Linked DNA regions of Schizosaccharomyces pombe. Changing the gene in region 1 together with any one later gene gives a genetic interaction. Each region holds a gene or a part of one and is shown in the gene's direction. Other genes may lie near its edges. The genes, in order: bzz1, meu10, shy1 and pzh1.

Region 1 (6,963 bases):
GTTCTCGTTATTGGTGGTGGTGATGGCGGTGTACTTCGTGAGGTGGTCAAACACGAATGTGTCGAAGAGGCTATCTTGTGCGATATTGATGAAGATGTCATTAAAGTCTCCAAGCAATACCTTCCTGAGATGTCCGCAGGTTTCAATCATCCCAAGGTTAAGGTACACATTGGTGACGGTTTTAAATTTTTGCAAGATTATCAAAATACTTTTGATGTGATTATTACAGACTCTTCCGATCCTGACGGTCCTGCCGAAGCCTTGTTCCAAAAACCTTACTTTCAACTTCTTTCCGATGCTCTTCGTGGAGGCGGTGTCATTACTACTCAAGCTGAGTGTATGTGGATTCATTTGGGTGTCATCAGCAATGTCTTGACTGCCGTTAAAACAGTTTTCCCCAATGTTCGTTACGCATACACTACTATCCCCACCTATCCCTCTGGATCTATCGGCTTCGTTGTAGCCTCCAAGGATGCTTCCATCGACCTTAGCAAGCCTCTTCGCAAGTGGTCTCCCGAAGAAGAGAATAAGCTTTGTAAGTACTATAACAGTGAAATTCATGCTGCTTCCTTTGTTCTTCCTACCTTTGCTCGTGATGTCGTTGACAAGGCTACCTCCTCTTAAGCAAACATTTTTATTTTTTTTGGCTAAAGTTTCATACGTCTTAATCAATGCAATCTTAAGTCAAAATGTATACTCTTTTTTCTTTGTTTTCACACTTCTGCTCTCTACTTTTTGTAAGTGAGATTACGTTCTCTTTCGGTAGTTGATATGCAAAAAAACCAGTGAAATACCAGCATAAGTAAATAATATTCCTTTAGTAATTGGTACCAAGAAACCTATGTATTAAATAATCTCTAAAAATCAACATGCTTTACATTTTAAGTGCATTCTTGACAACTTTTTCAAGCTCTTCGTAGTCATCTGTAGGCACTCGCGTGATGGGACGTTGGAAGTATTCTTGAATGGCGTTCATTTCTTCCCAACTCTTTTTATCGTGAACAAAATTGATACTTACTCCAACACGGCCGAACCTACCGGTACGACCTATACGGTGAAGATATGTTTGTGGATCGGGTCTTCCTGCTTGATCTAAAGGCATATCATAGTTTACAACCAAGTTGACTTGCGATACGTCGATACCCCGAGCAATTACATTCGTAGTAACCAAAACCTTTGAAGTACCTACTCGGAATGAATCCATAATAGCGTCACGTTGTGCACCTTCCAGATTACCGGTAAGACAAGCAACAGTGTGTCCATCTGCAGTCATACGCCTAGCAATTTCTTCAGCGGTATCCTTTTTCTTACAAAATATAATTGATTGACCAATAGTCAATAACCCATATAATTCCACTAAAACATTATATTTATGTTCTTCACTTTGGCAATCCATATACAACTGCTTGATTCCCTCAACAGAAAGCTCCTCAGTCTTCAGACGAATTTCATTAGCATTGGGAGCAAAACGTTCAGCGTACTTTTCAACGCGTTCCGAAAAGGTAGCACTGAAAAGAACAATCTGAGTGTTTCTAGGAAGAAGGTGCTTGATACGCATAGATTGATCTCCTAATCCTTGCTGATCTAACATGTTGTCTGCCTCATCTAACACGAATACTTTAATATCGCGAGCGTCAAGCTGTCTTCTCTTCATCAAATCCATCACAGTGCCAGGCGTTCCGATTACAATTTGAGCATCGATTTTTGCACCTTTAGGGACGGAGTCTTTAATACCAAAAGCTGTTTTTACTTCAGTATATTTGCCCATCTCCGTCACGACATCCATAATCTGACGGGCCAATTCACGAGAAGGAGCGAGGCAGATAGCTTGAGGTTTGGGAACAGAAGCATCAACACGAGAAAGCATCGTTAATGCAAATGCAGCGGTTTTACCAGTTCCGGATTGTGATTGTCCGATCATATTGCGAGGAGGATTTGAGAGTAAAAGTGGAAGCGCCTTCTCTTGAATTTTTGAGGGTTTTTGGAATTTCATTGAATAAATTCCCTTTAATAATTCGGGCTTGAGCTCCAACTCTTCAAAACTTTTAACAGAAAAAAGAGGTGAGTTTGGATCAGCCTGTAGATCTGCTAATTTTACACGAACCTCGTTTTTATTTGGTATTAAATTAGATTCATCATTTTCAGATTGCTTCGTATTGGCGTCCTCTGCAATCGTGTTGGTCGCTTTGTCTTGCTCAGATTTTGCATCAACATTCTCAGTGATTTTTGGACCTAATCTGTCACTTAAATTTGTTGCTTTTTGATCTTCATTTTTATTTTCTGAAGTATTTAACTGATTGACTTTATCACTAATTCTTTGAACCTCTTCATCAGAGTCCAAACTAGCCCAGTCAGTTTTGCTTTCCTGTCCCAGTGTAGTTGACATTTTGGATGTTTTTTAGTAAAAAAAATAAAAAAAATCAAATTTATAGTTCAGATATCCAAACTCAGCAAGGATGACTTAGCAAACTGGATGACAATTTCTGGTGGGCAATGTAGTTGGTGATTGCTAAGTTACTCCTTAAGTGAAAGTTGAACAATATAGGTTTCGATTCACCACCGTACTTCCTTTTCATCAACATTCGTAACGTAAAGCCAAAAATTGTCACAATTTCTTCCGTCAAACTTTCTTTTTAATTGTTTTATATCCGGTACAAATTTTTATTGCAGCGATATCAAACGTGTAGATAATACTGGATAATGAGCCTGGAAACATACAAATTTAGTGATGAACTTCACGTAAGGTGTTTTAGTTATTTGGCATATTTACTAATATATAAAAGGACGATTTTAAAGTTGTCGACAGTTGGGTATGCCAAGAATGAAAATGAAGACAGTTCAACAATTAACACATTGTAACAAAGATTAATAATGGCGCGAAATGGCTTGAAGATATTCAATTGTACTACAAAGAAAGAAGTTCTATTGGTAAATAAGAAACGACAATGGTTAAATTTCAATGACTAACTTTGTTGCTAGAAAAAGAATATGCTCAGAAATTAGCCAGTCTTTCGAATAAATATGGGGAGAAGAAATCCAGAAAATCATCAGCCCTTTCAGTCGGAGATACTCCGGCAATGTCTGCTGGCTCTTTAGAATGGTATGTAAAATATTGGAACCTGTCAAGCAATTGAAGTTAGATGGATATTGAATTCCTGTTCACAGGCTAATTTTATAGTGCTTCTTTAACAACATGGTCTAAAATTTTGGATGAGTTAACGCGCTCATCAAAAACTCATCAAAAGCTATCCGATGACTATTCATTGGACATTGCTGAAAAACTGAAGAAACTAGAGTCTCATATAGAGGCTTTAAGAAAAGTTTATGATGATTTATATAAAAAATTCTCATCCGAAAAGGAGACATTGTTAAACAGTGTGAAGAGAGCCAAGGTCAGTTACCATGAGGCCTGCGATGATTTAGAAAGCGCAAGGCAAAAAAACGATAAATATCGAGAGCAAAAAACTCAAAGAAATTTAAAATTATCTGAAAGTGATATGCTCGATAAGAAAAATAAATACCTACTTCGTATGCTTGTATACAACGCCCACAAGCAAAAGTTTTATAATGAAACTCTACCAACGCTCCTTAATCATATGCAAGTATTGAACGAATACAGGGTTTCGAATTTAAATGAAATATGGTGTAACAGCTTTTCAATTGAAAAGTCTCTCCATGATACCTTATCCCAAAGAACCGTTGAAATTCAATCAGAAATTGCAAAAAATGAACCAGTCCTTGATTCTGCCATGTTCGGAAGGCACAATTCAAAGAATTGGGCACTTCCTGCTGACTTGCATTTTGAACCTAGTCCTATCTGGCATGACACGGATGCACTGGTGGTGGATGGTTCATGTAAAAACTACCTCCGAAATTTACTGGTCCACTCCAAAAATGACCTTGGAAAACAGAAAGGCGAGCTTGTATCGTTAGATTCACAATTGGAAGGTTTACGCGTCGATGATCCAAATAGTGCTAACCAGTCATTTGAATCTAAAAAGGCTTCGATAAATCTAGAAGGGAAAGAGCTCATGGTAAAGGCCAGAATAGAAGATTTAGAGGTTCGTATCAACAAGATCACGTCAGTTGCGAATAATTTAGAAGAAGGAGGTCGTTTTCATGATTTCAAACATGTTAGTTTTAAACTTCCGACAAGTTGCAGTTACTGTCGTGAAATTATTTGGGGGTTATCGAAGCGTGGATGTGTTTGCAAAAGTACGAAATATTTGCTTTCTTTCGTTAACTAACAAAACACGTGTAGATTGTGGCTTCAAATGCCATGCAAGGTGTGAACTTCTTGTTCCCGCCAACTGCAAAAATGGTGAGCCCGAAGTGGCCGACGATGATGCTGTAGATACCAGTGTTACTGCCACTGATGATTTTGATGCTTCTGCGTCGTCTTCAAATGCCTATGAATCCTATCGTAACACATACACAGATGATATGGATTCAAGTAGTATTTATCAAACTTCCTTAAGCAACGTGAAAACAGAAGAAACAACGCCTGCTGAACCAGCGTCAAAGGTTGACGGTGTAGTTCTTTACGATTTTACCGGGGAACATGAAGGGGTAATCACAGCTTCTGAAGGACAGGAATTTACGCTACTTGAACCAGATGGTAAGTAAAGCTTGAAAAATCCCATTCTAATAGATCAATATAGATGGCTCTGGTTGGGTTCGAGTAAAAATCGATGGAACTGATGGCTTGATTCCAGCTTCTTATGTTAAATTGAATGATGAATTAAATACGAGTGTGACACTTGATGGAGATTCTTCTTATGTTAAGGCGTTATATGCATACACAGCTCAATCCGATATGGAATTATCAATCCAAGAGGGTGATATAATTCAGGTCACAAATCGAAACGCTGGAAACGGATGGTCTGAAGGGATACTTAATGGAGTGACCGGTCAATTCCCAGCTAAGTAAGTCTTTGTTTTTTTTTTTTATTCATTTCTCCATTTCTTTGCACAAAAACTAACATATGTCTTAGTTATGTTACAGATGTATAAACCATTGAAATATCTATATGAATATTATCTACTTCATTGTTGATAAATTTTACCTTCTTTATGTATTACGAAAAGCAAATTGTCAATAATAACTTACGATTTTTTATCCACTACAATGTAGTTGGTCGATACACCAAAGTATTTTTTTGCTAGATTGATCTTTTTTTTTTTGAATTTTAGATATTTATAATAACTATACTAAATGCTATGCCTAAGGAAAATTTTTTAAATTGAACTATGCTATATTTTTTTCGTTAGTAACCAAAATTTATGTTTACTGAAGAATACAGTTTCGCGTTACGAGAAAATTGATCAACAATTTTTTAACGAATACATACAAACACATTGTCATTACAACAGAGAGGAATCGAAGGATGTGATATGTCATCGTACATTTTCAAAAGTAATCTGCAAATTGAAACAAACATATAAACGACATGTGATATTGGAACTAAGTCTAAAAACATTCCCGATAACGAAGGGAAAACTTTCATGAAAGGTAACGAAAAAGAGAAAAAAGCCAAAATGGTGAAAATATAAGGAAAAAAAAGTTGTGTGTTCAATTCTTCTATACTTTAATTATTCGTAATGATCTTCGTCAACTCGTATGTCTTAGCGCCGTCGTCAAACTTGGACAAAATGCGGCTAGGAGGATATCTGCCCTGGACAACACCCAAGAAAGCATCAAATTCATTATAATAGGGATCATCTTCGGGGAAATTAATAATGCGTTCGCTATCAGCCTCAGGAGAACGAATGTAAAGTCTGGGTTGACCGTAAAAGTCAACCATACGAACATAATGACCATCTGCTTGAAGCTCTAGACAAGTGTCATAATTCGTTCCTTGTAAAATGATACTATGAGCGAGAATACCAACTGCACCCGACTTATATTTCCATGATGCAGCGGTGAAACGGGGGATGCGCTCCTCTTTGGGAATGGACTCCTCGTCAACAGGAACCTTAGCTAATTTTCCACAAGGGTCGTACCAGTTTACACGGTTTACCTTGACGGTAGAAGTATCGACATCACCACCGAAATAGATGGACAAATCACAGAAATGTGTAGCTTGCTCAACGACGGGACCACCAGACTTTGACATGTACCACCAGAAAAGTTTGTTATTATGTTCGTAAGCAGAGTTATATCTTGCAATGGTACAAGCGATGTTCAAGTTATTATCGGCAACGTATTTCTTGGCGGCTTGAACGATCTTTAAATAACGGAACATATAACCAATTGAAATGATAGCATGGTATTTCTCCAATTCATGTACGAGGTTAAAAGCACCTTGGACAGGAGCACTAGTAATAGGCTTCTCGATAAATAGAGCAGCATTGGGGTATTTTCTTAAAATTTCCAACTCCATGTCCATACCCGGAGTTGTGCAGCCATGGAAATCAGGAGGAATGCCAATGAGATAAGCAGAAGGGACATCCTCAGGATGGGAATCCAAGTATTCCAAGTACTCAGTTACAGAGACATACGTCTTGGTGTTTTCATAAGCGAAAGCAACGTCAGATGCACATTTAGACTTCAAAACACGCTCGCTTTCGTTAATTAAGGGGTTGATGAGAGCAGTTACTCGAAGTGATTTTCCTAACACCTTTTCAACTCTCTGGGCATTGTTCCAAGGTCCCTCGGGGGTACCAAAGTTAATGCCACCGGCGCCAACAATAGCGATCTTGAAGATCCCACCAGAAGAAGAGTTGGTTGATAGAGCAGTCATTGAATCAAACAAAGCAATATAAAAACAAGTTCAGAAAATAACAAAGATAAACAACAGGCTCAACCTATGTGAATGGTTGTGCAAAAAGACCGAGTTGATCAACAATGAATACGAGAAAATGAATGAGTAAAAGGAAAAAGGAAAACAGCTATGAGAATTCCAAATTGAGGATTCTTTGTTTTTTTTTTCCTAATTGAACTTATCGTATGGTATGGGTAAA
Region 2 (7,293 bases), on another chromosome or scaffold:
GGGACCGGATGAGCAGGAATCAGAGGTTTCCGTTGTAACTCATAAGGATAAGAGAATGCATATTCATCATGATTTGGGACGGGTTGATGAGTTAGGCCTTGCGAAAGGTCATGCTGAGAAGAGAATGACGGAATAGTGGTATTAGAGGAACCATTTTGTTGTAGATTTTGATAATCTTGCATTTGGTTTAAAGATGGGGACTGAGTAGGGAGAATATTTGAGCCGGTAAAGGAATACGCATTGGGTTGAGAGGAATGGTCAGGAAGGACAGAGTAATTGTTTTCAAAAGTTGCTGGCGGATAAGGATGCATCTCATTGGAAGGATTCATCGTTGTATAAGGTGTGGAATAGGTTTGGGTGTTATCCTGTGAGTCCTCCTGAGGTAGACCAAAAGAATGAAATGAAGGATTAGCAAATGCTGTGCCATCTGCGTTCAACGCTTGAGATTCGTTTTTTTCCGAGTAATACGGACTCACTGAAGACGTGGAGTGGGCCTTGGAGCTACTGATGGCGGGTGAAACCGAGTCTCCATAGATGCGAACGGGTTCCTGTAAAGAGGTGGATTTGGCGAGTGAATACAATTGTGGAGACTCTAAATTAGCATTGATGGATCCTATTGCTGTAGCGACTCTTCTTATGTTCCTAGTTGAATCATAAAACTCCTGTGTTTTAATATCTTCGGAAGAAGGACGTTTCTGAACGTTTGGGGACATAGAATTTGACGAAGGTGAAAAGGATGCAATCTATTATATCCGTTTGGAAATTTTAAAACTTTTAAAACAAGCCTTTCACCTCTACAGCTGAATTTAAGAGATCCGTGGACGTTAAGTTTAAAAGTTCATGTACGCGCAATGTCTGGTATTTGATGAGCTGAGATCACTTAACTTTCCCTCAACATTAATTGCAACGAACAGGATGACCTATCAAGGGTAAAAAGTAAACTATTTAGCTAGCGTAAAGGTTGTTACAAAAGTGTTGTGTTTTCGTACAAAGTCAGGAACCAAATTTCTTAAGTCAATTCATTAATTTTTGTAGCAGTCCTAATCTTCCTTTTTTTTCTTTTTATTATTTACATGATTCCCTAATTCGGAGAAGTAAAATGTTAATCCGGTATTACTTGGATATACAGCCTTACGACGTTACCGAAAAATCGTTAAACAACATGTACTTTGGTTTTTCCGATTTTGCCTATAGCACGAATTGAGTGTGATATTAACGGGAATACCACTGAAAATAGAACGGCCAACAACTGTGACTTCGCAAAATTTTAACTGTTGGATGTCCAAATGGTGCAGAATGTTTTCATACCAACCACGCACGTCCACTTAGTATTCCCAGGATGGTAAATTGAAAAAATAAAATGCACGATAGGATAGGTAAGCCTCTTAGCAAGACCGAAGATTTGGCTTCCGTTGGTGACATTCGAGACTCACTTTGAATATTAAGCAGATGAAGTTTTGCCGCTTCTTAAATTCCTGATAGCAATTACGTACAAATTTTTTTGCTTGTCGGCGCCTTTTTAGGTCCGTTGTCGGTTGACACCTCAACGATGCCAATTCTCGACTTTTGAGCTTGCGAAGGAGATAAAAATGTTTTAAATGAAAAGGTTAAAAAAAAGGTTTAAGATTTTAAAAAATTTAAAGCAAGCAGTTTTCGGGAATCAAAATAATGTATGATGAGGATTTGCAGCGAATCCTAGATCCAACGGATGAGTCCTATTGATTAGTCAGTTATAATAATCCAAAGTAAGTTTTTCCAGTTATGTTCAACTTGTGCAGTTTTACGTTGACATAGCAAATGTTGGTAATCAACGAAGTAAACACTCTCAACATTCAACCAGTCAAGTTGAGCATTGTAAAATAGAGACAATCCGTGGGTCACTTATGATCAACTTTCCTCCGCAACGGACGCTATACCCCTCAATGGGATAATGTTACCTCGTGTAGAGAAAAACAATGAAAAAGTCGATCGCATGACGTTGCTGACATTGTTTACTAACATTGCAAAGTAAATAAATAAGTAAACAATTATACCAAGTAGGTTTGTTTACATTATGAAAAAAAAAAATTTTAAAGAGTTGCGTTGATTACTTTCTTGGTATTTACTCTCGTTATTTTTCGCTGTTCATTTGTGTTTGTTATTGTTGAAAGTTGTTGTTGATGGTAGGTGTGGTGCAGGCTCAAGGCCGTATTTATAAATGAATTAACGAATGTGTGAACCGCATATAGTCCATTAACATACATTCAACTTATTACTTAAGATGTTTTTAGTAATTGGGGTGTATAAACCTGAGTAACTTTTACCATATTAAGATGAGTTGGGCGGTTTCGAAATCTATAAAAGGGCATGCCAGTGAGTAAACTACCTGGAAATAACCGCTACATTTTTATTCCTTTTAACAAAAATCGTATAAATAATCCATTACGAAGAAAGACTTCGCTCTGTCCTCTTTTCTTACCCAGCATATATATACATAAACTTTTGTTATATTAGCATTCGTTTAAGGCACTTTTTCTTGTCCAAACTTTAATCAACAAGGAAATCATAAACAATTAAAGGTTCATCATTTCCAAACCCTACAAAGACCCGAATTCATTCTTCAGTATTCATAATTTCATTTCCAATCCCTTCCTGCTACGACAAAAATTTTGGTCGTACTTGATAGATTTTATTGCTTTTATTATCCCTAACAACTTTTCCCTCCTTTATATTCATTCTTCATTTATCATAAAATGCGCTTGTCTTCACGCTTTTATTTGTTTACCAGTTTCACTGCGTGGAGCGTAGTGATCGCTGGTGCAACCCCAGCGGTTTGTGGTGCCCCCGAGTACATTATTGAGACACAGAATGACTTGGACGTTTTAAGCAACTGTCAGGTTGTGAATGGCTCTATCATCATGAACACTAGCTCAGCTACTTCTTTGAATTTCAATAGAATAGAGACCATTACCGGTGATCTCATCATTCGTAATAACAACTACCTTGCATCGGTAGCCCTGACATCCATTTCCAGTGTGGGTGGAGAATTACGGTTTGAAAAACTCACACGACTCGCTAGTGTTTACGCACCTCAACTGGCAAATGTTGGCCAATTAACGATGCGTATCTTGCCAAATCTTCAAGGGATTCGATTCGATAAGGGGATCAAAAAGGCCCATAAGCTCACCATCGAGGATACCCAACTCTCCACACTTGCAGGTATTTCTTTGAATACTACGGATACGATGGTAATTGTTAACAACAATTATTTGCGAGAAGTTGATATGCCCTATTTGGAAAGTGTGGAGTCGAAGTTTTACGTCTCTTACAATGCCAGGGAGATCAGTGTTACCCTTCCTAGACTTAAAACCGTGGGTGACATGACGATTCAACGCGTAGCTCACTTACAACTTTCGAATTTAGAAGAGGTCAAAGGATTTTTAGGCTTCCTCAACAGCACGTTGCAGGATATATCATGCCCAAACATTACACGAATTGGACAGTCTCTTTTCTTTATAGGCAATCAGGAATTGACTTCGCTAAATTTCAAGCAACTTGAGAGCATTGGAGGTACTTTTATGATTGCCAACAGTGCAGCATTGGCACAAATCAAAGGATATGATAAATTGAAGACCGTAGCAGGATCCATCGACTTTACCGGTAACTTTAGCAGCGTTGAACTTCCCAAGTTACGAGATGTTAAAGGAGGTTTGAACATACAAACTACATCGAGCGACTTTACTTGTCCCTTCCGCCAGAGCGACGGGATCATCAAGGGCAAATCGTTTGTTTGCCGAGGATCGGTTGACAATCCCAGACAAAGCAAGGAGTCTTCTTTCGATGATGACGATTTTGATGAACTGTTAGGAAATGGAACAATTAAAGGCTCTAAGAACAGTACATCACCGGTCAAACAAAGTGGTGCCGCTAAGGTAGATAGCCGACCTTTCCGTCTTGTTACCTTTTTCCTTGTCTTAGTAAGTGGCTTTGCGCACTTGCTTTAAAGCCAAGAGAGACAAAGTTGACAATGTAAACGCAAGTTCATTTGCAAGATCGAAATCTACCCTTCAAAGCCATGCCGTCTATGATTAACCTGTTTCTATTTAAAAAGTAAATAAATGCTTTCAAAATAATTAGAAGGAAGATTTTCAACCAACAAGGATTACAAAAAAAAACGGCGATAAGTTTCGTTGCTTCATTTTGGATCACTTTACTATTTGCTGTTCCTTAATGGACACAGTGAAATGACGAGAAACCGGTTTTCAGTTGTTTTGTTGTGAGTATGGATAGTGAACACTTTTTCTTACCAATGGTTGGCTTTTCCTCGGTTTATTTATTTATTTTTTAGTACGGTTAGGAGAATGAAAAAAAAAAAGTATTTTTAGTGACTCCAGGTTCTATTGGCTTCTTATTTTTAAAACAAAAATATTCATCATTATTCTTACTATCACAAAACTACCAGTTATTATGTTTGTCTATCGATAACAGCACGCTACTTTTCTAGATGAATCATTTGTTTGTCTTGTTGTAGAGTAAAAGGCAATTTTTTACTAACAGTTAAACCCGCGCGTAGATGGTACTAATTTTATGCCATGAAACATATGATTTAAGTGGGATAAAAACGGAAGTACGAGAGCTGAACAATTTATCTGACAGGCATCCAAATGAATTAATATATAAACCAAGGAATGTGAAATTACATGAGTGAGTCAAGCATGCCTTTCGTCGTTTGTTTAGTCAACTAACAATTAGTGGTATTCAGAATGCAAAAAATATTTTTCTTTGTGTTGCCTCGGGTGTTTCAAGCCTTATCCATCCGAGGCACTCGTGCCTGTAAAAAATTGCAATCGGATAGAAGGAAGGTAAGGAAAGTGGATGAAATTTTTACGCGAATGCGGAGGAAGGCAAAATTTCTTGAAACAAAGTTGGTCGAACCTTGTTAAGTAGTAGAGAGTGTATATGAAGTATGGAAAAGAAAGAGAGAAAGGATGACTTCTCAACGAAAGATGAATTTGGCAATCACAAATGTTTCATATTTGGTTGTCAAGTTTAAACGACTTGCAACCGAGCCGATCACTGAAACAATTTCCAATGATCATAACTAAACGATCCTACTACTTACTGATTTGACGTAATTTGTCCTTTTGTTAATTTTTGGACGGTTTGGATCAAACATTTGAAGTTGCAAATATGATAAACTTACTGCTTGATTAAAAAAAAATAAATAAAATAAAAAAATTAATGATAGAACAACAATGATAAGAGAGCATCATTCATTATGAATGAGAATGTGTTTCATTGAAGCAATAGTTTTTGTGAACATACAAGGAGTGTTGTGATGAAAGAAAATGCAATTTGCCTTTCCAGTTTCTGATACTTCGTAAAGATGATGCTTTTTGGCTTTTGCTTTGTTTAAGGGTAACAAACTTGTGAATTGCCCAAAGCAGAGATGAATAATTTGAAATGAGTTTGCTACGAATTATCTGTATTTATGAATTAATGAAGGATGGATCTAAACCATTTAACAGGTGTAAATAAAAGCTTCATAGATTCTGTATAGTGATTAACAGTTTTTTGGAAAAATAATTTAAAAAAAAATTAATAATAATAATAATAATTTGGAAAAATAATGTTAGAATAACATACCAAAAATACCAGTATATTCAGACAATATGTTTTAAAACTTAAAAATGATTGTAGAGCAATGATTTTAATTATAGCTACGATTAGAAATGTTAAATGTTATTATAGTGTTAGTTTTGCGTTCGATTTAATTTTTGGTACACACGGGATATAACAGTTTGATTAAGCATTACCAATAGAGCAATGCAAGTTAAGAGGTTGTTTAAGCATGTTGTTGTCTAAGAGACTCACAAAAAGGTAGGTAAATGGATTTATTGCTAAACGGAAAATATTGATTTGAAAATTAAATTTTGGTCGTACATACTTTATTCGTAACAGATTTCATCAAAATTTTCACCTACAAAACATTGGAACTCAAAGTGTGACTGAATTCACAATAAGTAAATAATTACACTTCATAGCATACGATCCATTATTTTTTTATAGGTAAGGAATTTATTAAACTTTCCTTGATACCAATCCTCTTCACATAAATATTTATTTAGCGATCGCGTCGTTTTCCAGCGGACGTATGATTAATAGTTTGGTAAAATTGGTTTTTTAAAGCTTAGAACGGAACGGTTTAATATAACAAAACCACGAAACAATGGGTTTTTCGTTTTCCATCCTTTTTTAAAAAAGTTCATCACTCTCAACAGTGAATGCCACTCTCTCTCTAAAAAAAAACAGCGATTTGCTAAATCCTTTAGACAGGAATTACAGCTTCATCACGTAGTTGATATCTAGCCGTACACGTCTATTTACCCTCTCCATCTATCCTACCGTGAACTTGTTAAAAATTGGGATCGCCCGTTTTTTGTCAACAAAAACAAAACAAACTCTGTCGCAGTATTCATTAAAATGTCTCCGGATCCACACGAAAGCTTTAATGGTTATTAAAGGTTTTCATCATCCGTACATTCACTTGCTAAACAACGTTTTCAAGCTAAGCGATAGATAGAGACAGTAAAGGGGAAAACGTAAACGAACGTCTTCATTAACCAAGGTCATCCGTCTACAAAATACCCTGTACATATTCGCACCAAATTAGCGATAATGACTACAAGCGATCACAGTTGTCAAACGGGATAAACGAAATATATGCTTAATTTGATAAGACGACAAATTAAATCAAGCTCAAAAGAAGATTTATAAAGTACGCCATGCTAAAAAAAAACCCCTTGCTTCCTGACATCGTACAAAAACTAAACTGCTCACAAATATACTAAATAATAAATAAATTAGTTAACATCACCCATAAAGATATCAAATCTATTAGTTCCAAAGTCTCCTCTCAAATACAATAAATACTTTTTTTTATATATTGTCCTTGGGTCTGTAACCCACCAATATATTTTTCCTTAAGAAAAGGAATGCTTCAGTTGGTTAGTGGGAATACCGTTTTCCATTATACACTAGATGAGCGGAATAATAATACAAACATCGGAGTGCTAAACGGTGTTGAGTGGAAATTGCGTAAAAGGTTAATAATGCTGAACACCAGCATTAAAACTGATTAAAGGATGGCTTTGCTTAGTTCCTGAACGGAACAAAAACTAAAGCAGTGAAACATTTTATATTGCCTGTTTGACAAAGAAATGATACAAACTACCAACAATAAAGATAGAAACCGAAAAAGACAGATTCGAAAAACAGACCTTTTGTTGACATACTAACTTTAACGATAATATG
Region 3 (8,827 bases), 960 kb from region 1:
CGCGAGGTGCGTGTCTTAATATCATAAAGCCGCGTACAGAGGGGCTGTACCTTTAAACATCAAGTTTTCGAATTTCTAACAACAGAGGATAAATTTATAGAATATTGACAAAGGATGAAACGTTTTTTTAATGTATAAAAAAATCAGCTAAATTCTTGAAACGTCTCATATTTGCATACTCTCATATTGTGGGTTTAATATTCATAGATGTAAGTTTATAAATACCCTTATATAATTTATTTAATCAAAAACTTATTTGATCCTTAGGTTTTCGCCTTTTCTTGAACATCCATAGGTGTATGGAGGCCAAACACCTTTGTACTAGTTTACTCAAACTTTTGGGTGCACTGCGGTATGTCGTACATTGTTAAGCATTATAAGAAATGGTTACAGTATTCGTTAATTGCTCTTACGTAGATACGGTACATGTCGTCAGTTTATTTACATCAAGAAAACCAGAGAATGCCTAACTTATTGACATGTTAACATTTGTAGTCAAATAACTGAAGGGTCGGTGCCTAATAATCTGTATAGCAAATGATTCAAATAGTTTTTTACTTTAGAGCTATATTAGTTTGTTCATGCTTTTTGCCTGATTGCAGGTTGTAGTTCTACTAAACTATATTCAACCATTTATCTTGAACAAAATCCTATGTCAACAAAAGACTTTTAAATAAATAAACTGCACTATTATTTAATTGTTATTGTCGAAAGCGATCAGTAACAGCAGATTAAGAAACTACTTTTTGACCAGCCAACTTGTCGAGTATTAAAACTAGCATTAGTATATATAATTTAATAAATACATTCCGACGATACTGCCTCTATGGCTTAGTGGTACAGCATCGCACTTGTAATGCGAAGATCCTTGGTTCGATTCCGAGTGGAGGCATATACATTATATTATATTCTTTTTCATGCGGAAAAAAGATTTCAAATTTTTGGGTATGATATTAATATGACTGTAACGTTAATAGCAAAGTGAGTGTTAATAATGATAAAATAGCAGCAAAATCTCTTTTCCGAGTAAGACGTTTTCCAGTCTAAATTTGGAGTCTGCAGTTGTTTCGCAATTCTTAATGTATGGTTATACTAAATACAAACTTTAAAGCTCTGATTTATGTTTGCAATAAACTAAAATAAAAGCACAAAAACCTTTACCCATTAATTTCAAACAACTTATAAACTACCGGTAAACTTTTTTTCTAACCTTTATAATTTATAAACTAGAATGTTTAATGTCTACGGCCATACCTAGGCGAAAACACCAGTTCCCGTCCGATCACTGCAGTTAAGCGTCTGAGGGCCTCGTTAGTACTATGGTTGGAGACAACATGGGAATCCGGGGTGCTGTAGGCTATTTTTTTATATCCGTCTTTCTTACTACTTGCCTAACAAGTCATGATGTACTCTCAAAATATGTTTGCATGCCTTGTAATATTGGTTATGGATAGCTCCTTCTGGACTTGATCTTTTGTAGCCAAGAACAATGGGTATAGACTCTGACCTTGTGATGTTGTAGCCACAGATTATAATAGGTATTTTCAAGTACAGTAACAAAAATCTTCTAGTTTTTTTTTAGAAAGGATACACCAAGTATAAGCAAATTCAGGAATTGTTGATTAAACTGTCAACTTCGGTAAAACTTTGGGCATAAGTAGTGTGGGAGCAAGTTTAACTAAAATTCTATTCAGATGTCGAATCCAAACCGCTAATTTTGCTCAACTAGCTTTTCATAAAAACCAATTCATAGTTTCATACTAATAAAGACGATTGTTTACTTTAAAACATACGTCGTAAGAACATATATTGCTTTATCGAAAGATAACAAATGTTAAGCTATTATATTATTTAACTATAGCGCAGATTTCGCTTCCTTTACTTAAAAAAGACATGTGACTTGTAGAAGCTTGGAGTGAATACGCAAAGGTACCTACTTAGACATTCGCGTCTCTCTTAGCTGTCAACATCAACAAACTGGCCCCGTATTGAACAGTATCTTACTTGTCGAAGGATTTGACTAAGAAAATTTTATTTCTTTATAGCAATATTCCGTTTTCGCTTAGAAGATTCTAGTCAATTGCCCTATTCTACTTACGCTTTACAGTAGTATCAGAAGACCTGAGTGGGATTTTGCTGCTAGTAGAGGCCATTCAAGTTAACTCCGTTTTGCAACATTTTAAAAGTTTTTGAATTGAATATAAATATCAATTGTTTGATTCCTTTTAGGATTTAATCTTTTCTTTTTATTTTTGTTTCGATTGAATCTTGGATTCCTGTCTATCATGTTTTGGTGGAAAAGTGCTACTAAATTCACATTCTCAAAGCGTGGACCGTGTGTCTTTCGCTATTTGAGTACTCTTGAAGGAACAACTGTGAGGCCTAAAAAAAATAAATTTTTAGTTGGATTGCTTTCTGCCGTTCCAATTGTCACGTTTGCTTTAGGAACTTGGCAGGTAAAGCGACGAGAATGGAAAATGGGTATCATCAATACACTCACGGAAAGGCTTCAACAGCCCGCAATTTTATTACCGAAAACTGTTACGTACGTTAAGTTAACATATACACAAATTGCACGTTTTGCAATTGAACTGTCGTTTTTTACATTAAGCTAACATAATCACTTAGAGAGCAAGATACAAAAAAACTTGAGTGGACTAGGGTTTTGCTTCGTGGTGTGTTTTGTCACGACCAAGAAATGTTGGTCGGTCCAAGAACGAAGGAAGGCCAACCTGGCTATCACGTAGTAACCCCATTTATTTTAGACGATGGGCGTCGAATTTTAGTCAACAGAGGATGGATTGCTCGATCATTTGCTGAACAGTCTTCTCGAGATCCTAGTTCTTTACCTAAAGGTCCAGTGGTCATTGAAGGTCTTTTGAGACAACATACTGATAAGCCAAGATTTATGATGAAGAATGAGCCTGAAAAAAATTCTTTTTACTTCTTAAATGTTCGTGAGTTTGCACAATTGAAAGGAACTCTCCCCATTTTGATAACAGAACTACAACCATCGCTTACACCGTTGCAAGAAGCCGATCATGTTAAGAGAGGCTTGCCTCTTGGTCATCCTCTAAAAGTTGAAATTTTCAACAGTCATACAGAATATATTATCACTTGGTATTCTCTAAGTGTGGTATCAGCTATAATGCTTTACGTCTATTTTAAGAGAGGTTCAGGCACATCTTCTCTGAATTCTGCATACGAAAGAAGCAAGATTCTAAACAACAAACGATTATAAAAAATTTTCATATTTATAAGTTTCTAAATATTATCTACCTAAAATTTTACAAATTTTGGAAGCTTGCTTACTGCGTCCGTCGTTTGAATGTATGAATCGATCATTCCTTCACCAACTTGTTTTGCAAACTTCGGATCGTAAGGAACCTATTATTAGGAAGTTAGTTCTCATGCCTATAATTTTAATGCTCTATAATCATCACGTACCTGAGTTTCAGATAAATTGCTCAGCCAAGAGTTTGACAACAATTCTGATACATATTTTCTGGCGGCCTTCTTTTTATGCTTCGTAATTCCAGAGATACTTCCTAATTTGTTACTGCTGATGTTTTTAAGAAGTTGGTATTGTCTGGTAAATTCTTTTTTCTTGGTAGCTGACACGTGATATAGGAAGCTGTTTAGACAAGTGATAAGGTCATTTATGATCTATAATTCGGTTAGTTTAGAAATTTTTATATCATTTTTTTTAAAAAAAAAAACCAGTTTGGTAAACTTACTTCAGTGTACTTTGTCAATTGACTTAAAGGCGTGGAGTTCTCATAATCGAATGACTCAATTAAATTTTCAATCGTTTCGAACGAGGAATTTTCGTAGTCTCCGTTCTTGACCTTTACCGAAAGTAATCCCAGTTGGATCAATAATTTCATATGAACAATTTCTTCCGAAGTTAATTGCTTCGATAAATCATTGTTTTCGCACAAAACTTCCATTTCCTTAGCACTTAAAACGGCCTTTTCAAAATCGCCGTTTACTATGCTGTCTTGAACGAGAGAATGACCAATGACAGTCAAATGGATCCAAAGCGTGTCCGGTTTAGGCGAATTTCTTAAACTTTCTTCAACTGTTGGCAATTTATCAGATCCATAATCTGCAAAGACCTTTAAATCTCGATTATCTTTCGGAGATGAACATTTGGGAAGATACTGTTTGGGTGGTTTAAAAGCGGTAAGATAATGTATCCTAGCCCGCTCGACCAAAGAAATGCTTTTCCAGGTACTGTGGTCTAAACGGGATCGGAAATTACGCATATCTTCGATTTGAGAGTAAGCACCATCTTCATAAGCCATAGAAATCATCTCTGGTGTTTCAAACTCATTCGAACCATATATTTTGAGACTTGAGTTAATATAGTGAGAAGTAACAGAAGATGGATAATAGGTAGTAGCACGAGTCAAGAGATAATGATCAAGGGTATCGTTTTGAATTTGCTTAATGGACATAGTGTCGTAAACTTTAGCAGCAGCAGGGAAGCCTCCATCAAGAAGAAGATATAAACGAATAAGGGGTAGCTTTAAATGAAAGTTATGTTGACTATAAGTAATGCCTTTTTCTAAAAGACAGATTGCGTCAAAAATTAAAGCTTGTTTTTCGGCAGGTTTTAAATCCTTATTCCCCTCCCACATATATATCAATGAATGAACTGCTAATAACAAAGCTTCATAACCGTGCGTAAAGTCAGTGGGTAATAAGCCTTTACTTAAAGACAAACCCTTTTCAAATGCGACGAAGCATCTACGCACGTAATCGACAACCGATTCTGCAGTAAACGACTCAAAGAGCAAAAAATGGATCTTCAGAAGCAAAACCTCAGCATATAATTTATCGACTTTTTGAGACTACGACGAGTTAATATTGAAAGATGAATAAATACTTACTTCATTGGATTCACCTAGATCAGCCAACTTAAATGCATCTAATAACCGGTGTTGTGCATCAACATTCAGCTTCAATAGATAAGGTCTCAAATCTTCAAAAACAATTGGTTTCATATACAGCTTTTTGATATAGCCAAGTAATGCTGATTCGTGTTCTTCAGGAAAAAACCGTGCGCTGGCTTCAATCCAAAGTAAATGAAGATTTCTTTTTGTGCTGCTGGTTGACAACGCTTTCAATATACAATCCTTTAATGGGACTAATCTATGGAGAAGTTAGTAATAATGCAAAAAAAAAAACTTACTTTGAATCATCATTGGAAGCACTATCCAGCAAAGCTTTGCAAACCTTCCAATCAGTATTCCCAGTTTGGAAAAGAGAAAGCGAAAACGTGAATAAAGAATCCCAACGCGCACAGGAAGCAAGCAATTCAAGCTTCCTCAAAAGAAGGTCGGCGTCAGCATCAACAAAGCGATCAGCATCTTGATGTATTAAAGCATCTAACGCTCTGTCCTTGTCTCCCACTAAAAGCAACACGTCTAAATAAAGATGAAACTCCTCACAAGAATCGATATAACCTGTTGGTTTTTCGAAAATGAGTTTAGCAGTTTTTTCAGCTAGTGCTTTCAGCAAACGTTGTTCAACCTCATTTTCCGACTTTTTGGACAAAAGATACAAAGATGAGATAACCCATAAGGTATGTTTCCTAGAAGGAAAGTTCTTTTGCAATTCTACAGCAGCCTGAGGAGTTAGTAAAAAAAAAACAAATTAAGATCTTACCTTTCTTTGGTGAGACAATGATTTGATGCGAATAGATGCTTTGAAGTAAGCTAATAAGTTTTTTTCCTGCTTTCCATAAGTTTGCAAGAACTTTTCCCAAAATACAAACGATTCTTCTCCTTCAAATAGTTAATAACTTAAAAGTAAGAGGGTAAAAACAAGTCCATTGAGAAATAAAACGTTGCACTTGAATCATCAAGCTACGAAAAGAACAAAGATCGTTTTTCTTAAGCAAAGTTTAACCGATCAAATAACTAAAGCCTTTATCTCAAGGAAATAGTAGAATATTCAAAATAAAAAATACGACCAAAGTGCTATCAACATTTATGTTCATCTGTTCAATAGAACCTAATTATACTTACCCTTCTTTTGATCATCATAAACAGCTTGTATAATGTCTAAAAGTTCCAAGCTGTTGATGGGAGTCGATTTTAACGGTTCTAAAAGTGCTAGAGCCTCGGGACCACGTCCTGCCTGAGCCAAGGATAACGCTGAATAAACCTAAAAAGGATGTTAACAGCTAAAAACATAACTCGATTACTTACAATTGTTGATTCTTTACTCCCAGAACGACGCATTGTAGTAGGCAATGAAATTAAAGCCCAAACAGTAGTCAGAAGTTGGTAGGTGTTGCAGTCAAATTATTATTCTACAGAGGAGAATATTATAGCCAGCGTGGTAGAATCTGGATATATATCTACTGCAAAAGTGTAATTGCATTGGTTTAAAGGGTATACTATGGTTAAGTAATATATTCACAGCTGTACAATTTACAGTCATAACTAAAACTTCCTTAAGCCGTAAAGAAATACCTGGTGTTGTAAAATTTGTTGTATATCCACGGCATGGTCATATAATGTGATTTTGTGCTCAAATAAATATAAAATATGCATAATTTTTGTACATTTAATTTGAGAAACCCATCTTTTGTTGAGAGGCTGTCAATGAATAGCAGTTTCATTGAAAAGCAGCGGGATGACCAGAAAAGTATTTTACAATGGCAAGGGAGTAGAAAGCTAGCGTAATATTCAGAAAGCTAGGTAATTGAGCAATCCTTTAATTCATTGCTAAGCATGCTAGGTAAACGCAGTAAACCTTTCAGTTTTCATTTAGGTATAAGGCTGTTTAATGAGTATCTCCACTAAATTTAAAGATCAAAACTCAGTATCAATTCTTAAAAGTTTTATTTTATTTAATAATCATATACTTCTCATAATCTTTCAATTTTTTCCCCATTTTGATGATATTTTTATTAATCCTACAGTAAGCTCTATGATATCGTTATTCTTCAAATAGGCTGGTCAGCACGTGGACGGTGTTACTTATCGTTAAATAAATCGTACTAAGGAGGTGCGATGTAAATGATATGCTTGTCAAGTATTAACTGCTCTCCACCAACCGCCGGTTTAACTGATTATTGTTGAAAAGCGCAGACGAAGTTTAGAGAATTACTAGCGTATTTTAAATTTAATCAACGGACTATTTTTTATTCCTTTGAGATCCGACTTTATCGCTTTGCTTCTAATTTTCCAAAATTCAGTCTATCTACGCGATCCAGCCCTGTTTGCGTAAATTTCATATTATTTTTCTTTAAACGTTTGGCTTTAAAGAGGCGCTTTTTTTTTGTTATTTTCTCTGTATAAAAGGTTACATTCGCCGATAGGTTTAATTTCATGACTTGTATTTGTTTTAAATCAGAAACGTTTTATTGAGTTAGAGTTCACAATTGTTAACATCTAACTATCCGCAATTATTTTTTTATTCATAAATAGGATATGCAGCCTTTGCAGTTATCCCCTATAGAACAGCAGGAGTTTGACCGATTGCTTGAGTCTCTCCACCCAGAACAGAAAGATTTAATCCCAGGAAGTGTTATTGGACCTTTTCTTTTGAAGTTTGGTCTTCCTCAAAAGATATTAGCAAAGGTATGTTTAATTCATTCCTCAATCAAAAGCTTTGGGATAGCAGTTTTTATCTCTTAAAGTTTAGAGTTTAAATCTAAGAGTGGAATGTTATAAATTAAAGCGTTGCACTTTCTAAAAGAAAAAATATATATCTAACTGCCAATTTATTAGATATGGGATTATTGTGATCAAGAGGATAAGGGATCACTTGATCGTAATCAGGTTTATGCTTGTTTTCGATTAATTTCTCAGGCTCAACGTGGAGCAACTTTGCAAGAGCTAGATTATAATAAAGGTATGAAAATGCGTTAATAGTTAGCTATATTCTAACATTAATCAGCCGGAGATCCTCCAATTTTACCAAAACAAGCTAAAGACGACCATCATATTAAGCGTTCATCTTCAGAAACGGCTGATTTTACCCCTTTCCGTATCCCCATTAACCCGGACGAGCGTTCCGAATATGAAAAGGAGTTTCGTGAAAATCTTCGAGGACATGAAGATTCAGCAAGGCCAGGCTGTATGCCAAGTTCAATTGCAAAACCTATTCTTTTAAAATCTTCACTTCATTACGCCGTACTCGCTCAAATATGGAATCTTGCTGATTCTGCCCATGTTGGGTACCTTGAAATGTATCAATACGTTATTGCAAGACATTTAGTTGCAATATGTAAACAATACAACTTGATTCATCTTCCACGCTCTTTGCCCGCTGATGTTATTGAATCCGCAAAAAGTGAAACCCCAGCAATGAATACAAATATTGAACAAGGTGTTACTCAGCCATCTTTAGTGAATACTGAGCAACTCTCTCATCAACAAAGCATATCCTCTACCAAGTCTTCTAAATTGGATGAGATTTCCGCAGATAATAATGCTCAATCTGCTGTTGACAACAAGTACTCATCACCCCCACAAACAATTGATCCTCAAGCTAATATAAAAGCCTTAATTACTCCCGAAGATCGGTCTAATTTTTATCAATTATTTTCTAAGATTGACAATGAAAACAAAGGATATATCGTGGGCGGTGAAGCGGTACCTTTTTTTATGGCATCTCATTTAGACTCTGAAGAGCTTGCTCGTATATGGGATACAGTCGACACTCAAGATAGAGGTTATATTGACAAAGATGAATTCGCTGTAGCTATGGAAATTATAAAGTTACGACTCTCAGGTAAATCTCTTGCAAGCATACTTGCATATGACGATAACCCGACTGAACCAACTATGCAACAAAATCTGGTTTC
Region 4 (6,557 bases), on another chromosome or scaffold:
AAAACGATTTAGAAAAATGGAAGCCTATCGTGGCTGATAATCGCAAGTCTGATCAGCTCATTTTCCCCATGAATGAAACAGCTCGCCCTGTCCCTAGTAATAATGGACTGGCCTCTAGCTTTGAGCCTAGGACTGAATCTGAGAGAAAGATGCACCAGGCTTTACTAGATGCAGGTCTTGAAAATGAATCAGCGCTGAAAAAACAAGAAGAATTAGCCTTAAATAAACTTTCTGTTGAAGAAGTTGCTGAAAGAACTCGTCAGCTTCGATTTATGCGAGAGCTAATGTTCCGTGAGGAAAGAAAGGCCAAACGTGTTGCTAAAATAAAAAGCAAAACTTACAGGAAGATCAGAAAGAATCGTAAAGAAAAAGAAATGGCTTTAATTCCTAAGAGTGAAGAGGATCTTGAGAATGAACGGATTAAATCTGAAGAAGCTCGTGCTTTGGAAAGAATGACTCAACGTCACAAAAACACAAGCTCTTGGACCCGTAAAATGCTTGAAAGGGCGTCACATGGTGAAGGAACCCGTGAAGCAGTCAATGAGCAAATACGGAAAGGAGACGAGCTTATGCAACGTATCCATGGTAAAGAGATATCTGAAATGGATGGAGAAGATGTTTCTGAGTTCTCGGATAGCGATTATGACACAAATGAACAGGTGTCAACCGCTTTTGAAAAAATACGAAATGAAGAGGAACCAAAGTTAAAAGGTGTACTGGGCATGAAATTTATGCGTGATGCGTCCAATCGACAAAAGGCTTTAGTGCAAGATGAAATGCAAGCATTCGAAGACGAACTCGCAGGAGTACCCAATGAAGATGATACATCTCAAAAAGGAGAGGACGGGGTTCCTGGAGTATTAATAGGGAATAATACAGGCCGTCGTTCATTTAAGCCTTCCGAAGAAGCTGCAAAATTATCTTTGCCATCAAGGAAAAATCCCTTTGTTTCTGATTCAGCGGTGCTGAAAGTCAACAAACCGGAAATGAAGGAAGGACAAAAGAAGGCCGAAGCTCGAAAAAAAAAGGAATCACCATTAGAAGCAACTGAGGAAACTAATCCATGGTTGCAAGTACCTGACCAAAGGACCTCTTCTGCCAAAAAGTTGGATAAAAACAGCTCTAAGGCAGACAAAAAGAATCACAAGTTAAAAATGGACAAAGTTGCCTCCCTTCAAGAACTTGTCGAAGAACCTAAAGTTCAGCCTGATTTAATTTTTGAAGAAAAGGCTTTTGAATCAGCGTCGGAAGCGGAATCGGATGTTGATGTTTCGGTACCTATGTTAAAGCCAACCAAAGGTCGTTTGTCAATTAAGCAGAGAGAGCTTGTTGCTAAAGCATTTGCTGGCGACGATGTTGTCGCTGAATTTGAAAAGGATAAAGAAGACTGGGTTCAAGAGGATGCACCGAAAGAAGAAGATCATAGTTTGCCCGGTTGGGGTTCATGGGGAGGTGTTGGCGTAAAACAAAGAAAGACTAAGCCTAAGGTTAAAAAAATTGCTGGACTAGATCCGTCAAAGCGGAAGGATTCTAAGCTAAAGCATGTGATTATTAATGAAAAACGCAACAAGAAAGCTGCTAAGCTTACTGCTGATAGTGTTCCGTTCCCATTTGAATCACGAGAACAGTATGAACGATCTCTTAACTTGCCTATGGGACCAGAATGGACTACTCGAGCTTCACATCATAAGGCTGTTGCTCCCAGAGTTGTTACCAAACGTGGTAAAGTCATTAATCCTATTAAGGCACCTAATTAGATTCTTATATGTACATTGAGTTTTGGATTTTTGTTATTAGATTGATATCTTTTGCAGTAGATTAGATACATTTGTAATGGATTTTGGGATATTGGGAAGAAATATATATTTTGAGGTAAATACTTTAAACAAGAAAAAAATTAATTCAATACAAATATATTAATATCATGAGGAAAATTAATTAAAATGGTTATAATTTACTTCGTTTTCTCCCGGAGTAAAGATAAGTGATTATAATTTGTTTCACAGCATCCACCGAGTATCAGGTTTCCATTATGTAGATTTGAGTATTTAGCCGTTATAGTTGACCATTCTTCAGGTGAAGGGGCAGGATGATCTGTTGAGCCAGGTGAAAAAGTACCGTCTGGATTTTGATACAACCCGCGGCCGTCAGGGTACAAAATAGCAGTTATGTTGGATGGTAAAAGACTGGATAGCATTTTTGCGATGGGTTCGAGTAAACTGAGGTGAAAGCAATTAACACCGATGCCCCATATAGAGTCATGATTGATGCTCAGTATCTTGGAGATAATGGACGATACTCGTTCAATAGTGCTGCGCTCAGGGCACGTACAGGTGATCCAGCAACGCTTAGACCAACCTTTCATATCTTGAATGAGTTGGCATACTACTTCTGCTTCAGTCACGTGAGGAAGGCTTTCAAATGCAATGAAGTCAATTTTTTCGAAAGCTTTAGGATTAGATGCTTGAATGGCTTCAATTCTGTTTTTATGAAAATTGTATAGCATTTCAAAATCGGTGGGTTTATCATAAATCATTTTGTATTCCATACATCCAGGAATAGTAGCAGCATGACTTCCGAGACATAAAGCAATATATTTGTTGGGCAAACCCAAATGTTCTCTAGCATAAACAGGTAACCCAATGCTGTTTGCGTAAACCTGTTTTAATGGTACACCTTCTACCTTTTCGTCGTAGATAGAAGCATCCAGTTGATAAGTGAAAGTACTAATAATGTCGCAAACTTTTAAAAATTCTTCATGATGCTTAACAACGATCTCTGGATAACGCACCAGTGCTTCAGAGGTCCATAATCTAGACTCAGATATACTTTCAGGAAGCTTTGGAAGAATGGCAGTAGAGCCACCGTCTAACATAAGCATTTTGGAAAACTCAAAAATTGGGAAAAATAGTTCAACGAACAGCAAAAATGGTATCTCAGGTTATACACTAGTATTAACAGATGTAACTGCCTTTTGATGGATATTACAACAGTTTAGAGAATATCGCACAATCAGAAACCCAATCGACCCAAAACAAAAACATTTGAGTAAGAATCAGACTAGTATATAACGTAACGCGAAATTTTTCCATATTTAATTTAACGTTAATTTACGTGGATCAATTGCGCCTTTTATTTTACTTTGGAATACACTGCAGTTATTATACAGTAAGTGCGCCATCATCGTTGCACCACACTAGATGGACCCAGCGAGTTCAGTTCTCGAGTAAGATGGAACGGGCTACTACGTCTATCAGATTTATACTACACTTCCCATCACTTGTTAACCCATTCTTCACCACGACCTTACAAATTTTTAAACGATTGTGTTTTGTCAGCAAAGCAAAACATTTTTATAGACCAGGATTACTTGAAGAAGAGAAAATCTACTAATTTACGGAAAATATCGAAAAATAGAAAAAATCTAGGTACAATTGGGAAACCTTTTAATTTTGGCACTAAATGCAAGCAACGAAGTCTCGATTTTGAAGTAAAAAAGAAAATAAAAATAGAACAAAGTGGAATAGTTTCCCGGAATCTACCATTAATTGAAATACAATGGGACAGGGGAGCAGTAAACACGCCGACAGCAAGCTCGATTCCTACCCATCCTTTTCTCGGTCAGACACTCAAGGATCCATTAAGTCTTTAAAGTCTCTGAAAACAGTCCTGGGGAAGGGCAAAGACTCGAATCATGATCGCCGAACGTCTACTGATACAACCCATAGTCGTCACCGGTATCCCGAAACACCACCAAGCCTTCCTCCTCCTCCTTCTCCTGGGATATTAGCTACATCTCCGGCTGTGTTGCAAAAGCATCAACAGGAGGATTCGGGAAATTCTTCTCAATCTCCGACGTCGCCGCATCCTTCTAACCAGCCTGCCATGCTTAGTCCCTCTACGGCCGCTTCCCAGCATCATCATCATCATTCTTCTTCTTCTTCTTATGCCGTTTCTCCAACATCACCTACCTCACCAACCAGCTCTGGCCCAATTGGCTCCAACTTTGATTCAGCTTCTGAGCATAATGGTCCTGTGTATCCACAAGATCAGCAGGGGCCCGTAATTATCCCTAATTCGGCAATTTCTTCTACGGATCCTGATGATCCTGAAACAGTTGTTAGCCTTAACGTAGATGAAATGATTCAAAGATTGATCCATGTTGGCTATTCTCGAAAAAGTAGTAAAAGTGTGTGTCTAAAGAATGCTGAAATTACCAGCATTTGTATGGCCGTACGAGAAATATTTCTTTCGCAGCCGACACTTTTAGAATTGACCCCGCCGGTGAAAATCGTTGGTGACGTTCATGGTCAATATTCCGATTTAATTCGACTGTTTGAAATGTGTGGGTTTCCTCCGAGCTCTAATTATTTATTCTTAGGCGATTATGTCGATCGTGGTAAGCAGAGTCTTGAAACCATCCTCTTGCTCTTTTTGTACAAGATCAGATATCCAGAAAACTTTTTCTTGCTACGGGGCAATCATGAATGCGCTAATATCACTCGCGTTTACGGTTTTTACGATGAGTGTAAAAGACGTTGCAATATCAAAATTTGGAAGACTTTCATAAACACCTTTAATTGCTTACCCATTGCGTCCGTTGTAGCCGGTAAAATTTTTTGCGTTCATGGTGGTCTTTCTCCATCGTTAAGTCATATGGATGACATACGGGAGATTCCTCGTCCTACTGACGTTCCTGACTATGGATTGCTGAATGATTTGTTATGGTCAGATCCTGCTGATACTGAAAACGATTGGGAAGATAATGAACGAGGTGTTTCTTTTGTTTTCAACAAAAACGTTATCCGGCAATTTTTGGCCAAGCACGACTTTGATTTAATCTGTCGTGCTCACATGGTTGTTGAAGACGGTTATGAATTTTTTAATGACAGAACTTTATGTACGGTGTTTTCTGCCCCTAATTACTGTGGGGAATTTGATAATTGGGGGGCCGTGATGAGTGTTAATTCAGAGCTGCTTTGTTCCTTTGAACTTATAAAGCCTCTCGACCAGGCAGCAATTCGACGAGAATTAAAAAAGAGCAAGCGTAGTGGTATGGCTATTTATCAATCTCCCCCTGCTGAGCAGGTTACCCAAAGCGTGTAAGCATTCTATTTTTTCTATTTTGGTCTCCATTTGAAATTATCTAGCGGTTTTATTGGGACACTATTTTATTCTCTTAAATGAGTATTATCTGTTATTATGTTATAGTCACTATGGTGATGGATCAAGTCCTTGGTTCACTTTATCGGTTCGAGGGCAATTCCATCCTGACACGTTTAGTATAAGTTTCTGTTTCTTTTAATAAAAACACAATCATTTCCATATAGTGACAGTTAACTTGCTTTTTATTTTTGCTAACCGACACCTGCTGAACATCGAAAGAGTAGGTAAAAAATTTACATGAGGAGGAAATAAACAATTATTATAGTATTATTATTAGCATTAAATAAATTTAAAGCGAAAATGTATCCATTTCTTTGTAAATCTTCTATCAATTACTAATCTCCCATACGATGGGCTTAAAACAACACTTTGAAAACTAAAGTTGAATGTGGTATCGTACTTAAGTACTTCTTTCCATGATCCATTTGTGATAAGTATTTTGGTTTCCTTATTGTATAATGAGTAAGCTACTTTTGTTGCATAATGCTGCCAAGTAGGCAGTTCTTTGATAAATCTCCTGCGTTGTTTTGTTTGTGTCAGCTTTTTCGTTCAATCAAGATATTTTATCACATTATTTCAAGGTTCAATGAATCATTCGAAGAATAGTAACGAATTCAGATATATTAAATAAAGGCACACATAATCTCTAAAGATTACAGTTTAATGGCTCTTTCAAAGTGTTTAGTAATATATACACTAAATTTCTAAAATTCAGTAGTTATGGCGAAGTGGCCGAGTGGTCTATGGCGCTAGCTTCAGGTGAAAGCAATTGCTAGTCTACGTATGTGGGCGTGGGTTCGAACCCCACCTTCGTCAATATAATTTTTTATATCATGTTAATGGAATTGAGAAAAAGCAAGCTGTCAGTTTATACTTTCAATGTTATGCAGAAACCGTTTTATTTCAATTATTTACACTGTTTGACACTACTAAAGCAGAGTTAATTGTAATGAGACATAACGGTACATGGTGCTTCGACTTTCATAACCATTAAAGAAAAGAAGAATGTCTTGATTTTGGCTTATTTAAAGACCCATTGTGACTGGAAAAACAAATGACCCTACGTAGTAAAGGGTAAAATGAATTTTTTTTAATTTTTTTTTTAGATTCAATGTAGAAATATAATCGATTATCAGATTCATTGTCATGCCTGATAATCCATGTATGATACTATGCAAAGATATAAAGAGAATTTTCTTCTTTTTTAAAAGTTGTTTTAAAGATAGAGGATGTTGTTTTTAAGCTGCTGAAACTGAATAATATAAGAAATCTAACGAGCAAGAGAATGCTCGACTTATGTTTACAATATTATATAGCTAAATATCTTAAGTTCTTATTATATAACTTTATACAGTACAATGATACTTTTCAATATTATATAAGTATTTACC

Evidence for each region.
Region 2: mutations in bzz1 (region 1) and meu10 together harm fitness less than expected from each alone (positive genetic interaction), as found in Schizosaccharomyces pombe (one large-scale study listed by BioGRID).
Region 3: mutations in bzz1 (region 1) and shy1 together harm fitness less than expected from each alone (positive genetic interaction), as found in Schizosaccharomyces pombe (one large-scale study listed by BioGRID).
Region 4: mutations in bzz1 (region 1) and pzh1 together harm fitness less than expected from each alone (positive genetic interaction), as found in Schizosaccharomyces pombe (one large-scale study listed by BioGRID).

What each region holds. Positions count from the first base shown.
Region 1 is NC_003423.3:2,463,473-2,470,435, forward strand, and holds bzz1 (diacylglycerol-binding protein Bzz1), read left to right. Parts: upstream 1-2,555; 5' UTR 2,556-2,700; coding exon 2,701-2,739; exon of another isoform or gene 2,740-2,783; coding exon 2,784-2,810; exon of another isoform or gene 2,811-2,864; coding exon 2,865-2,928; exon of another isoform or gene 2,929-2,979; coding exon 2,980-3,100; exon of another isoform or gene 3,101-3,178; coding exon 3,179-4,215; exon of another isoform or gene 4,216-4,261; coding exon 4,262-4,618; intron 4,619-4,661; coding exon 4,662-4,926; intron 4,927-4,994; coding exon 4,995-5,013; 3' UTR 5,014-5,267; downstream 5,268-6,963. Other genes in the region: srm1 (spermidine synthase), read left to right, coding at 1-624; ATP-dependent RNA helicase Dbp5, read right to left, coding at 875-2,386; SPOM_SPBC12C2.04 (NAD-binding dehydrogenase family protein), read right to left, coding at 5,589-6,743. UniProt on the Schizosaccharomyces pombe protein: Plays a role in endocytosis and trafficking to the vacuole. Functions with type I myosins to restore polarity of the actin cytoskeleton after NaCl stress.
Region 2 is NC_003421.2:1,865,170-1,872,462, reverse strand, and holds meu10 (GPI-anchored protein Meu10), read left to right. Parts: upstream 1-2,367; 5' UTR 2,368-2,732; coding exon 2,733-3,983; 3' UTR 3,984-4,683; exon of another isoform or gene 4,684-4,741; 3' UTR 4,742-5,547; downstream 5,548-7,293. Other genes in the region: DNA-binding transcription factor, CBF1/Su(H)/LAG-1 family Cbf12, read right to left, coding at 1-713.
Region 3 is NC_003423.3:1,503,133-1,511,959, forward strand, and holds shy1 (cytochrome c oxidase assembly protein Shy1), read left to right. Parts: upstream 1-1,965; 5' UTR 1,966-2,285; coding exon 2,286-2,545; intron 2,546-2,628; coding exon 2,629-3,241; 3' UTR 3,242-3,279; coding exon of another isoform or gene 3,280-3,387; 3' UTR 3,388-3,447; coding exon of another isoform or gene 3,448-3,666; 3' UTR 3,667-3,737; coding exon of another isoform or gene 3,738-4,856; 3' UTR 4,857-4,895; coding exon of another isoform or gene 4,896-5,157; 3' UTR 5,158-5,197; coding exon of another isoform or gene 5,198-5,634; 3' UTR 5,635-5,673; coding exon of another isoform or gene 5,674-5,792; 3' UTR 5,793-6,035; coding exon of another isoform or gene 6,036-6,174; 3' UTR 6,175-6,218; coding exon of another isoform or gene 6,219-6,251; 3' UTR 6,252-6,319; downstream 6,320-8,827. Other genes in the region: NatB N-acetyltransferase complex regulatory subunit Naa25, read right to left, coding at 3,280-3,387, 3,448-3,666, 3,738-4,856, 4,896-5,157, 5,198-5,634, 5,674-5,792, 6,036-6,174, 6,219-6,251; UBA/EH/EF hand domain protein Ucp8, read left to right, coding at 7,449-7,598, 7,749-7,872, 7,918-8,827.
Region 4 is NC_003424.3:1,526,513-1,533,069, reverse strand, and holds pzh1 (serine/threonine protein phosphatase Pzh1), read left to right. Parts: upstream 1-3,297; 5' UTR 3,298-3,558; coding exon 3,559-5,106; 3' UTR 5,107-5,505; downstream 5,506-6,557. Other genes in the region: U3 snoRNP protein Utp14, read left to right, coding at 1-1,757; SPOM_SPAC57A7.07C (homocysteine methyltransferase), read right to left, coding at 1,955-2,881.